2 linked regions of the Tribolium castaneum genome follow. The protein of the gene in region 2 binds, or shares a complex with, the protein of the main gene of each other region. Links are inferred from orthologs where the notes say so. Each region holds a gene or a part of one and is shown on either strand. Other genes may lie near its edges. The genes, in order: Mettl14 and fl(2)d-associated complex component.

Evidence for each region.
Region 1: fl(2)d-associated complex component (region 2) and Mettl14 share a complex: the UniProt entries of both Drosophila melanogaster proteins name them as parts of the WMM complex. The link is inferred for Tribolium castaneum from reciprocal best matches to the Drosophila melanogaster genes Flacc and Mettl14.

Annotation. Positions count from the first base shown.
Region 1 is NC_087399.1:167,047-171,017, forward strand, and holds Mettl14 (N6-adenosine-methyltransferase non-catalytic subunit), read right to left. Parts: upstream 2,501-3,971; 5' UTR 2,372-2,500; coding exon 2,306-2,371; intron 2,256-2,305; coding exon 1,657-2,255; intron 1,605-1,656; coding exon 1,097-1,604; 3' UTR 823-1,096; downstream 1-822. Other genes in the region: BicC (protein bicaudal C), read left to right, coding at 2,845-3,067, 3,115-3,521, 3,576-3,806, 3,854-3,971. UniProt on the Drosophila melanogaster protein: Non-catalytic component of the WMM complex, a complex that mediates N6-methyladenosine (m6A) methylation of mRNAs, a modification that plays a role in the efficiency of mRNA splicing and is required for sex determination.
Region 2 is NC_087398.1:11,172,366-11,176,813, reverse strand, and holds the start of fl(2)d-associated complex component, read left to right. Parts: upstream 1-1,466; 5' UTR 1,467-1,729; coding exon 1,730-2,910; intron 2,911-4,448. Other genes in the region: Xxylt (xyloside xylosyltransferase 1), read right to left, coding at 1-262, 360-501, 550-985. UniProt on the Drosophila melanogaster protein: Associated component of the WMM complex, a complex that mediates N6-methyladenosine (m6A) methylation of mRNAs, a modification that plays a role in the efficiency of mRNA splicing and is required for sex determination.

The sequences.
Region 1 (3,971 bases), on a different chromosome or scaffold from region 2:
TGTTGGGAAATCAGTCTTACTTAAATTTATTTCTAGGGGAGTCCACGTACCTGTGAATGGGAGGCTCAAAGGGCATGCATCGTACAAAACTGTAAATATTGCATGTAGAGAAGGGATTGTGTCATTATTTTTTTTTGATCATTCATTCATCCGCTTGCTTTTTTTAAACCAAGTTTAAAATCAGTCAAAACACTTTTTAATTATGAGAGTACAAATGCTTTTTTGATCTCATTTCATTTTATCTTGCCAATGTTAGTACTTTGGTTACCGGTTATTATAAGATTTTTGCCATTTTCCCCCTAACCCTCTCCCTAGTTTTTTTTGTAGGGAAATTTAGAAATGAACTAATTGTGAACCGAATTGCCAGTACAATATGAAGACTGAATGAAGAATAATTTAACGATCCAAAACTGTATACGATTTCTTGTTCAGGCTTCAGTTCTAATTTTCCCTAATTTTATAATTGTAATAACTTAACGAAAATTTCTCTCTTCCCTAGAAAAGGCTGTTAAATTATTTTATTAAGACCAATAATTTGTATGCTCGAATTATTTAGTGCATAGTTTTTTTCTCAATGTATTTTTTTACATTAGGAAGTACCTTCTTATAAGTTAAACTTAGAACATGTTTTAATTTTTCTCTTTGTGTTTCAACAATAGAAACAAGTTGTACTTACGATGCCAAATTTTGTTAATGTTTTAACTGATTTTAATTGAAAACAATCTCGAACCCAGTGTATGGTCTTCAGAAAAATATTTTTTAACATGGTACCAACCAGTTTTATAATATAAAAATTGTATTATAAGGTTAAAGTAACAAAAATTATGTGACTGCGTCATTATTATTGAACGAAAATAAAGTAAACCACTATTTTTATATATAAATACATAATTGTATGGTTATTATAGTTTTTATATTGATATTGCTTATTGTGATTGTGATCCAAGATTAATATTATATTTTAAGTTATTAGATCTGAGAACACTGCTGGAGATGATTTGGTAGTGTCATAATTTTTTCAAATCAGATCTGAGCGCACTGCTGGAGACTATGGTAGTGTCATAAATTAAAAATAAAAGCTTTAAAAAGTGTTTTTTCAACGTCCCCTGCCACGTCCTCGCTGAAAGTTGCCCCGACCTCGTCCTCCGGAATTTCCTTTGCCCTTTGGAGGCGGACTTTTCGGCCTCAAAGCTTCAATTCGTTCCGTACATCCCGTCGTTATATTATTATTAGTAAAATAACTCGCGTATAAATCGGCATTGAAATTCGAATTTGTTAACTCGGGACCGATCGTTAACCAACCTGGACGTATGGTACTGTCTCTACCGAAAATGTGGAGGCGCCGACGCCCCAAACAGAAGTGTTCGATTATATGGAAAATTTCAACCGGTTTTTCCAAACTTCCATATTCGTTCTCTTCCGAAATGATCAAATCAATGTCGACGTTGGCGTGAATAAAATCCCCGTCGGTTGACCGCCGAACCGTTCCTTTAATACCCATAAGACAGTGTTCCTTTGTCCTTTGGAACACTGCTTTAGGGTCAAGGTTTTTCGAATGACCTGGATTTTTTATGTTTGTGCGAATCCAACAAATATCCTCGCATCTGTAATTAGATTTATTATTACAAAATTTTGGTCTAAAAATGGGGAAAATACCGGCGAAAGCCCCATTTTCTGAGACACACGCGCCCCATGTCAAGTCCATCTGAACTTCCACACCACAAAAATACGAAACTTCGTTGCGCTGCCACTTCCCCCACATCCAAATTCATGATTTGGTCCCATGGCCAGAACTGCATATTTGTGGCCCCCATGGTTCTCTGGTATTCTTCCAAAGGTGGTTCAATTAAAATCACATCAAACTTACAATTTAGGTTTTTCAAATCATAAGTCGTTAAATCACATTTGAGATACATAGGGGGATTTGCAGTTTGTGCAATAAGTTCGTCTTTTAATTTGATTAATTCACGTAATTTGGGGTACTCCTCAAACCGGTCCGCTAGACCGACATCGCGGATGAAATTCTGGGGTCTTTGACCAGTGTCGACAAAATGTTGGCAGTAGTCATTATGGGGGTTCGACGATTGAGTCCCTTTGAGAAAAGTTGAAGAGTCACGATAGACCAATTCATTTGGAGTGTCTTTCTTGTAGTCGTATTTTTCGTTTTCGTTGTTGGTGGAATCGGGACGTCTCTTAGAGACCTCGGTTGTGGTTCCTAGGACCTGGCGGAGCTCCTCGGGGTTGGAAACACCAAGCTTAAACATTATTTGTCAGTGATACATAACCACATTTTTACTATACGTACAGTTTGAGCCAGAAGTTGCTTGCGTTTCCGTGATTTCTCACGCAGGTGTTTCATAACTTCACCCATTTTCAAGTGCAGACGGGTTTTATCAACTCATTTTATTTAGTTTCCCCGCAGTTTTTGGCAAAATTCGGAAAATTGATGATAATCAAGTAGCGCCACCGCTTGACATATCGTGGCGGTAGATTTAAATTGGGGGATGAATTATTTGTGGTAGAAATAAATTGTGTAACACTTAAGGACAAATAAAGTTTTGTTGAAATACTTTATTTCTTTTATTTAGAAACCTGAAAAAGTTGGCAAATAGTAAAATTTGGCGCTTACCTGTACCAGAGTACTTCAGATAAGATTGAAGAAAAACATGCTGAGAAAAAGCAGGAGATAAAACTTCTCTTTGGCCCTTATCAGAGTTCAGTCGCGCAAATTACCAAAAGCGTGTCACCTACACAGCCCTTAAAAACGCGTAAAAATCCTTACAAAGTGACCATTAAATGGGGTTAGTCATTAATTAATTGTGGACGTAGTGATTTAAAAAAAAAATGTCTTGTAATTGTGCTACACCTCGTGGAATCGAGGTAAAAAATTCCGACACACAATCAGAAGTGTCGGAAAGCGGCACGGCTACTTCTGGTTTCAACTCAAATTGGGGCTCCAGAGAGGAATTAAGGGATTTTGTTGCCAAACACGGATTAAAGGACATTTCGGATTTGTACCAGGACCGGTTCCGGGTCGACCGCAAAAAGTTGGAACAGATGCTTAGTGGTAAGTAAAGTTTTTTTTGTAATTTGTGAAATTATTTGTAAAAAAAGGGGACAACGATGCACTGATCCCTGCTGACGTTTTTTTTGCGAACATTATGGAAGACACTGACACTTACATAACGTGGCCAAACAAACTCAAATTGGGGGCTAAATCGAAAAAGGATCCTCACGTGAGGATCGCCGGCAAAGAAGAGGATGTTAAAGCCGCCAAAGACAGGATTATGACGGTTTTGTACACGAGATGCAATCGTGTAACCATGAAAATGGACATAAGTTACACGGACCATTCGCATATTATCGGCAGAGGAGGGCTGAGTATTAAACGTGTCATGGAAGAAACTCAATGCCACGTACATTTCCCTGATTCGAATCGTTCGAATCCGATGGAAAAAAGCAATCAAGTTTCGATTTCGGGCGATTTGGAAGGGGTTGAAAATGCAAGGAGTCGCGTTAGGGTATAGTTATCAAACATTTTGAATCCAACCCTACCACTAGTACAATCATTTCAGGAATTAATTCCGCTGATTTTTGGGTTTGAGCCTCCAATAATGGCCCAAAATATTGATAATACGTGTCCTTACGTAATTAAAATCCAGGAACAGTACAAAGTGCAAGTCATGTTCAAAACTAGGTCCAAACTTCATGCTACTATAGTACTAGTCAAGGGAGTCGAATGGGAGGTGGAGCAGGTGAAGCAGGCTACAATTTTGCTCATGGAATACATGTGCGAAAATTTGACGGTACTTATAAGTTGTGTTTTCCAACAAAATTCTAGAAATTTTTTTAGAACCAAATTCCGGTTCAAATGACTATCCAAATTTCGCCCCAACACCATGCAATCGTTTTGGGCAAAAATCATTCAAACCTAAAGGCAATCATGCACTACACCAAATGCCAAATCATGT
Region 2 (4,448 bases):
TTTGGACGTGAGATATTGCACAGTTTCATTCCTGATAATTTGGGAATATTCCTTTGATTTTCTTATTGCACTTAAATTAATCAAAACAACACCGGAATTATAGCCCTGGAAGCCACGAGGATGCTGCATATTGCTCGATATCGCCTTGGAATGATAATATTCTCCGAATGTTGAGTTCTTTTTCACTTTATAGGTTTGGAGGACGTGACGGTAGACTGGAGTCAGCTCGGGGGCCAAACCAAAAAGCGCAGTTGGCTTAAACCTATCAAACAGTTGAATTAAATTCCGATCAAAGTGATCTATGACTTCATGTCAGTCACAGGTCACTTTGACCAGAATAAGAAATTTCATAAACTCACTTGTCAAACTCCTCAAACACTAATCGAATATCCTTCTTAAAGTATAAATCACAGTCTAGTAGAAGGGCAGTTCGCTGGGAAGGTGGGGCTATCCGATACAGCCCCAAAGAAATATAGAAAAGTGCGTCGCTGTAGTAAGTACCTGAAGTCAAAACTAGTAATAGTGCAATTAAAAAGTAAGCCTTTTTACCCGGTTTTGAACTAAAATGAGGGGTCATAACGTCGACAATATCACTAATCGCTCTTGCACACGCTTCAACATCATAAAATTTATAAAATATTGCTTTATTCGAATGCGACACCACATCTGATATTTCACCTACTGCTAATTGCTTTGAGCTATTATCAACAATAATATGGAACTTTAAAGGAACAGAACTTATGTTTAAAATATTCTCCAACAAGTTGTGGAATTTATATCTTAACGGCGACCTTTGAGAGACTTTAGTAAATATCAACCAGACATTGTATTCTTTAGGCTTTTTGAATGGCAACAAAAATGTTGCATCGTTAGCAGAACCATCGGAATTGTAATGAAAAAACGTAAAATAAACAACTAATAACGCAGCAATTAAAATTCCAAGTTTTAACAAAAATCGTAGTTTAGGTTTTTTGGGGGCGTACATCGTTAATCATTTCTCTGTTTGTCGCAGGAATTGAACATTTTTTAAGTGTTACATTTCTATTTTTCCTTTACACAATAACACAACACAAACAACTGTCAACATAACCTCTCTTTTTGTTTGAAGACCACATTACGAATTTTGATTAATTTAATTAAATGTGCCTTTATCACTGATTGAACTAAAAATGCGAAAGCTGCTTAATGGAAAATTGGTCTTTAAACAGTGCTTTTAATATTTTTGCTCCTGTTGAAATGTTGGCCGCGACGCTACTGACTTTTTGTCAATAAATAAAAACAATTTGAAACAGACCAAAACTACGAAATTAATATCTAAATCATTCGCAAGTGGGGCATAATCAAAAATATATCATAATAAAGTGTACATTATCGACAGATTTTGAGTTTTAAAATTTTTGTTCCCGTAAAATTTCAGGTTGAGACCGCCACTGGTGTTGTCTGTTAAATGTCAAAAAACTATCACCTGTCAAGTGGCTACATTTTTGCAAAACAAATCGTTCCAGTTTTTTGGGAATTGGCTAAAATCTCGTTTGATTGATCAAAAAAGTGTCCATCGGGCGTTTGCAAGTCGAAATTGTGTTTTTTGGGCGCCATCTGTGCGGCATGATGTAAGGAGGCCCCTAGCCGATAAGCCCACAGTCTCCCATGCCGGCAACGTCAAACGTAAATATGGTAGCGTCAAGTGCTTCGCAATTTTTCCTCCTCACCTCGCGAACTCTGAGTGAAAATGTCTAAACAGGTCAAGCGCAAAATAACCGTGAACCTAACTCCGAAAAGCAAAGAAGTCTCGAAGCCTCGCCCCAGCGTGTTCGAGCGTCTGGGCACCAAAGCCAGCACCAGCCAGGACTTTTGCCACCACTGGGCCCAGAGCGGCACCTGCCCCTACGGAAAAGGCTGCAAGTACTCCTCCACCCACACCCTGATCAGCCCCTCGAAACGGGCGGCCAAGACCCAGCGCAAGGACAATGCAAATAAACGGGTCCATCCCGGAAACCCAGACGAGGATTGGGACCACTGGGACCCGGAGGAACTAGCCGACGCCGACCCTGATGATCTAGAAAAGCGCCGGCAAGAACTGCAAAGAGAACTCGAACTACAAATGAAAATGGAGAACAAAGCCCGGAAAAAGGACAAGAAAACCAAGAAGGAGAGCAGCCCCTCGACCGAAAGCTCGTCATCATCCTCGGACTCGTCCTCCTCAAGTGACGACTCCACCTCCAGCAGCTCCTCGTCCATAGAAACGCGTCGGAAGAAGAGTAAAAAAACCAAAACCAAACGCGACTCCTCCTCATCCTCATCGGAGCGCCCCCCGAAAAAGAAACCAAAAACGAAACGAACATCCTCAAAATCGTCACAACGCACCGACAAAACTAAAAAAACAACTAAAACAGCCCCAAAAGCCAAGTCTCCAACACCGCAACGCAGTCGGAAACAGTCGCAAACACCGCCCCCCAAAATCAAGCCGGGGCTCCCCCCAGCAAAGTCCCCAAGGCCCACGAGTCGGTCAAGCGACCGTAAGGAGAAACACCACACGCCCTCTCCCAAACCTAAAGAAAAGGAGAAGGAGAAAGAAAAAGAGAAAGAACGGGAAAAGGAGAAGGAACGGGAGAGGGAAAAGGAAAGAGAGCGGGAGCGGGAGAAGGAACGCGAACGCGAAAAGGAGAAGGAAAGGAACAAGAAAGATAGGGAGAAGGATGACCATAAAAAGAAAGAGTCAAGGTCGCCGAAACGGGACAGCAGGTCGACGAAAGACACTAAGAAGAGGGATACTCCAGATTCGTCGCATTCAAGGGATAAGAAGGGCTCACCAAGTCGGTCTAAAGGTAGCACGGGGAGCAGTCGAAGGGATCACAAGGGGACGCCGCCCAAGGAGGAGAGAAGTCGGGATAAAAAGGACGATAAGGATAGGTAAGAAACGAACTGTTTTTTAAACAATAAATCATAAAAGCGTAAGTTTTTTTAAAATTTTGTTAGAACTGTCTTCATTGAAGATACGCTTTTAGCAGATTCCCCCTTGCATTGCACTGTATATTGTATATGCGAGAAAGAAGTTCAAAGCAATGTTAGTTATGTATTATGTTTCTTTTAAATAGCACTTTCTATTTTTTGTTTATCACTGCTTTCGTATTCATCAAAAGACGAAAATCTTTCATTTAATGTTTCATTTTCACTTTATTTTCTTCAACTTTTACATATTATTATTTTTATTTTTAGAAATTCTAGCTTTGATTTAATGTTTCCAAAAATCTCACATTTAAATGTTTCTTTTGACCTTCCTGTGGAGTGTAATCTCAAATTCAAAGTTTCCTCTATCTTGAACTGCTCAGAGATTTTACACGTACAGAGTGTCTCAAAATTGGCGAATCCATAGTTCAGAGCATTGTAGAGAATCACTTCAGAAGTCTAAATTTAGAAGAAGAAAAAAAATATTCGGGGCTTTCCCACAAAGATGGGTTTGAAGATCACTCTTTAAATTGCGTTTTTTTTTTAAATGCAGGCTAAAAGTTTTAGTGTTGGTATTTATGGTACCTATGATTGTGGAAAATAATAAAATAAAACAATTTCCCAAAAGTTAGCTTTATTTTGGAGTAAATAAATCTAGAATGCTTCAATTTGATACTGCCAAATTTATTGAACCCTTACCTAAATCATTGTCTACTGAACTATCCACCTTTTCAGTTTTTTTTGAAATTCTAACAATTTTGAAGATGTTTTCACCTTTTAAATACATACTTGTTTGGCTAACATAATTTTTGATTTTATCTAAAAGTTTTGATGGATGGTATCACTGTTAACTTAAGTTTTTTTTAGTGTTGTTATAACTAGCTTAAAAATTGTGAAGTACATTTCCAATTAATAAGTTAAATGAAGCCGTTTCAGAATTTTATAGGTATACTTAGGTTTCACAGTTAGCTTAACTTTGCAATCATTAACTATTATTTATATTAACTAAATACTATGCTACTATTAATAATAAAAACAATTATGAAGTTCTTTACAATTAAAAAAAAACACAGAAAAAAACGTAAGCAAAAAAAAGTAAAAAATGAAGCTCTTGGGATTGGAAATAAAAATTAAAGAACAAAGGTCATAAACCTGACAGAATGCTCTGTGATTGGTAATCAGCATTTACGTTTTATGCAAAAAAATCTTTGTTTTCTAAAACATTTCTTTCATTAATATCTTCTTTCAATGTATTTTTTGTAATTTTAAATCTTTGAAAAAACTTTAAATTGTTAAGGCAGTATTTTTTCTAATTTTTTTCCAATTTTCTTATTCTGGTTTTTTACGAACAACGTGTTTTACTCAGTTTTGTTCGTTGATGTACCTAAGATATTTTTGAATTTTTTTCCATAATTAATGAGTACTGGCACAATAAAATTTTAGTGAAGTGTTATTTCACTTATTTCTTCGCAAAGTTTCACCTTCCTCACATATCAACTCGA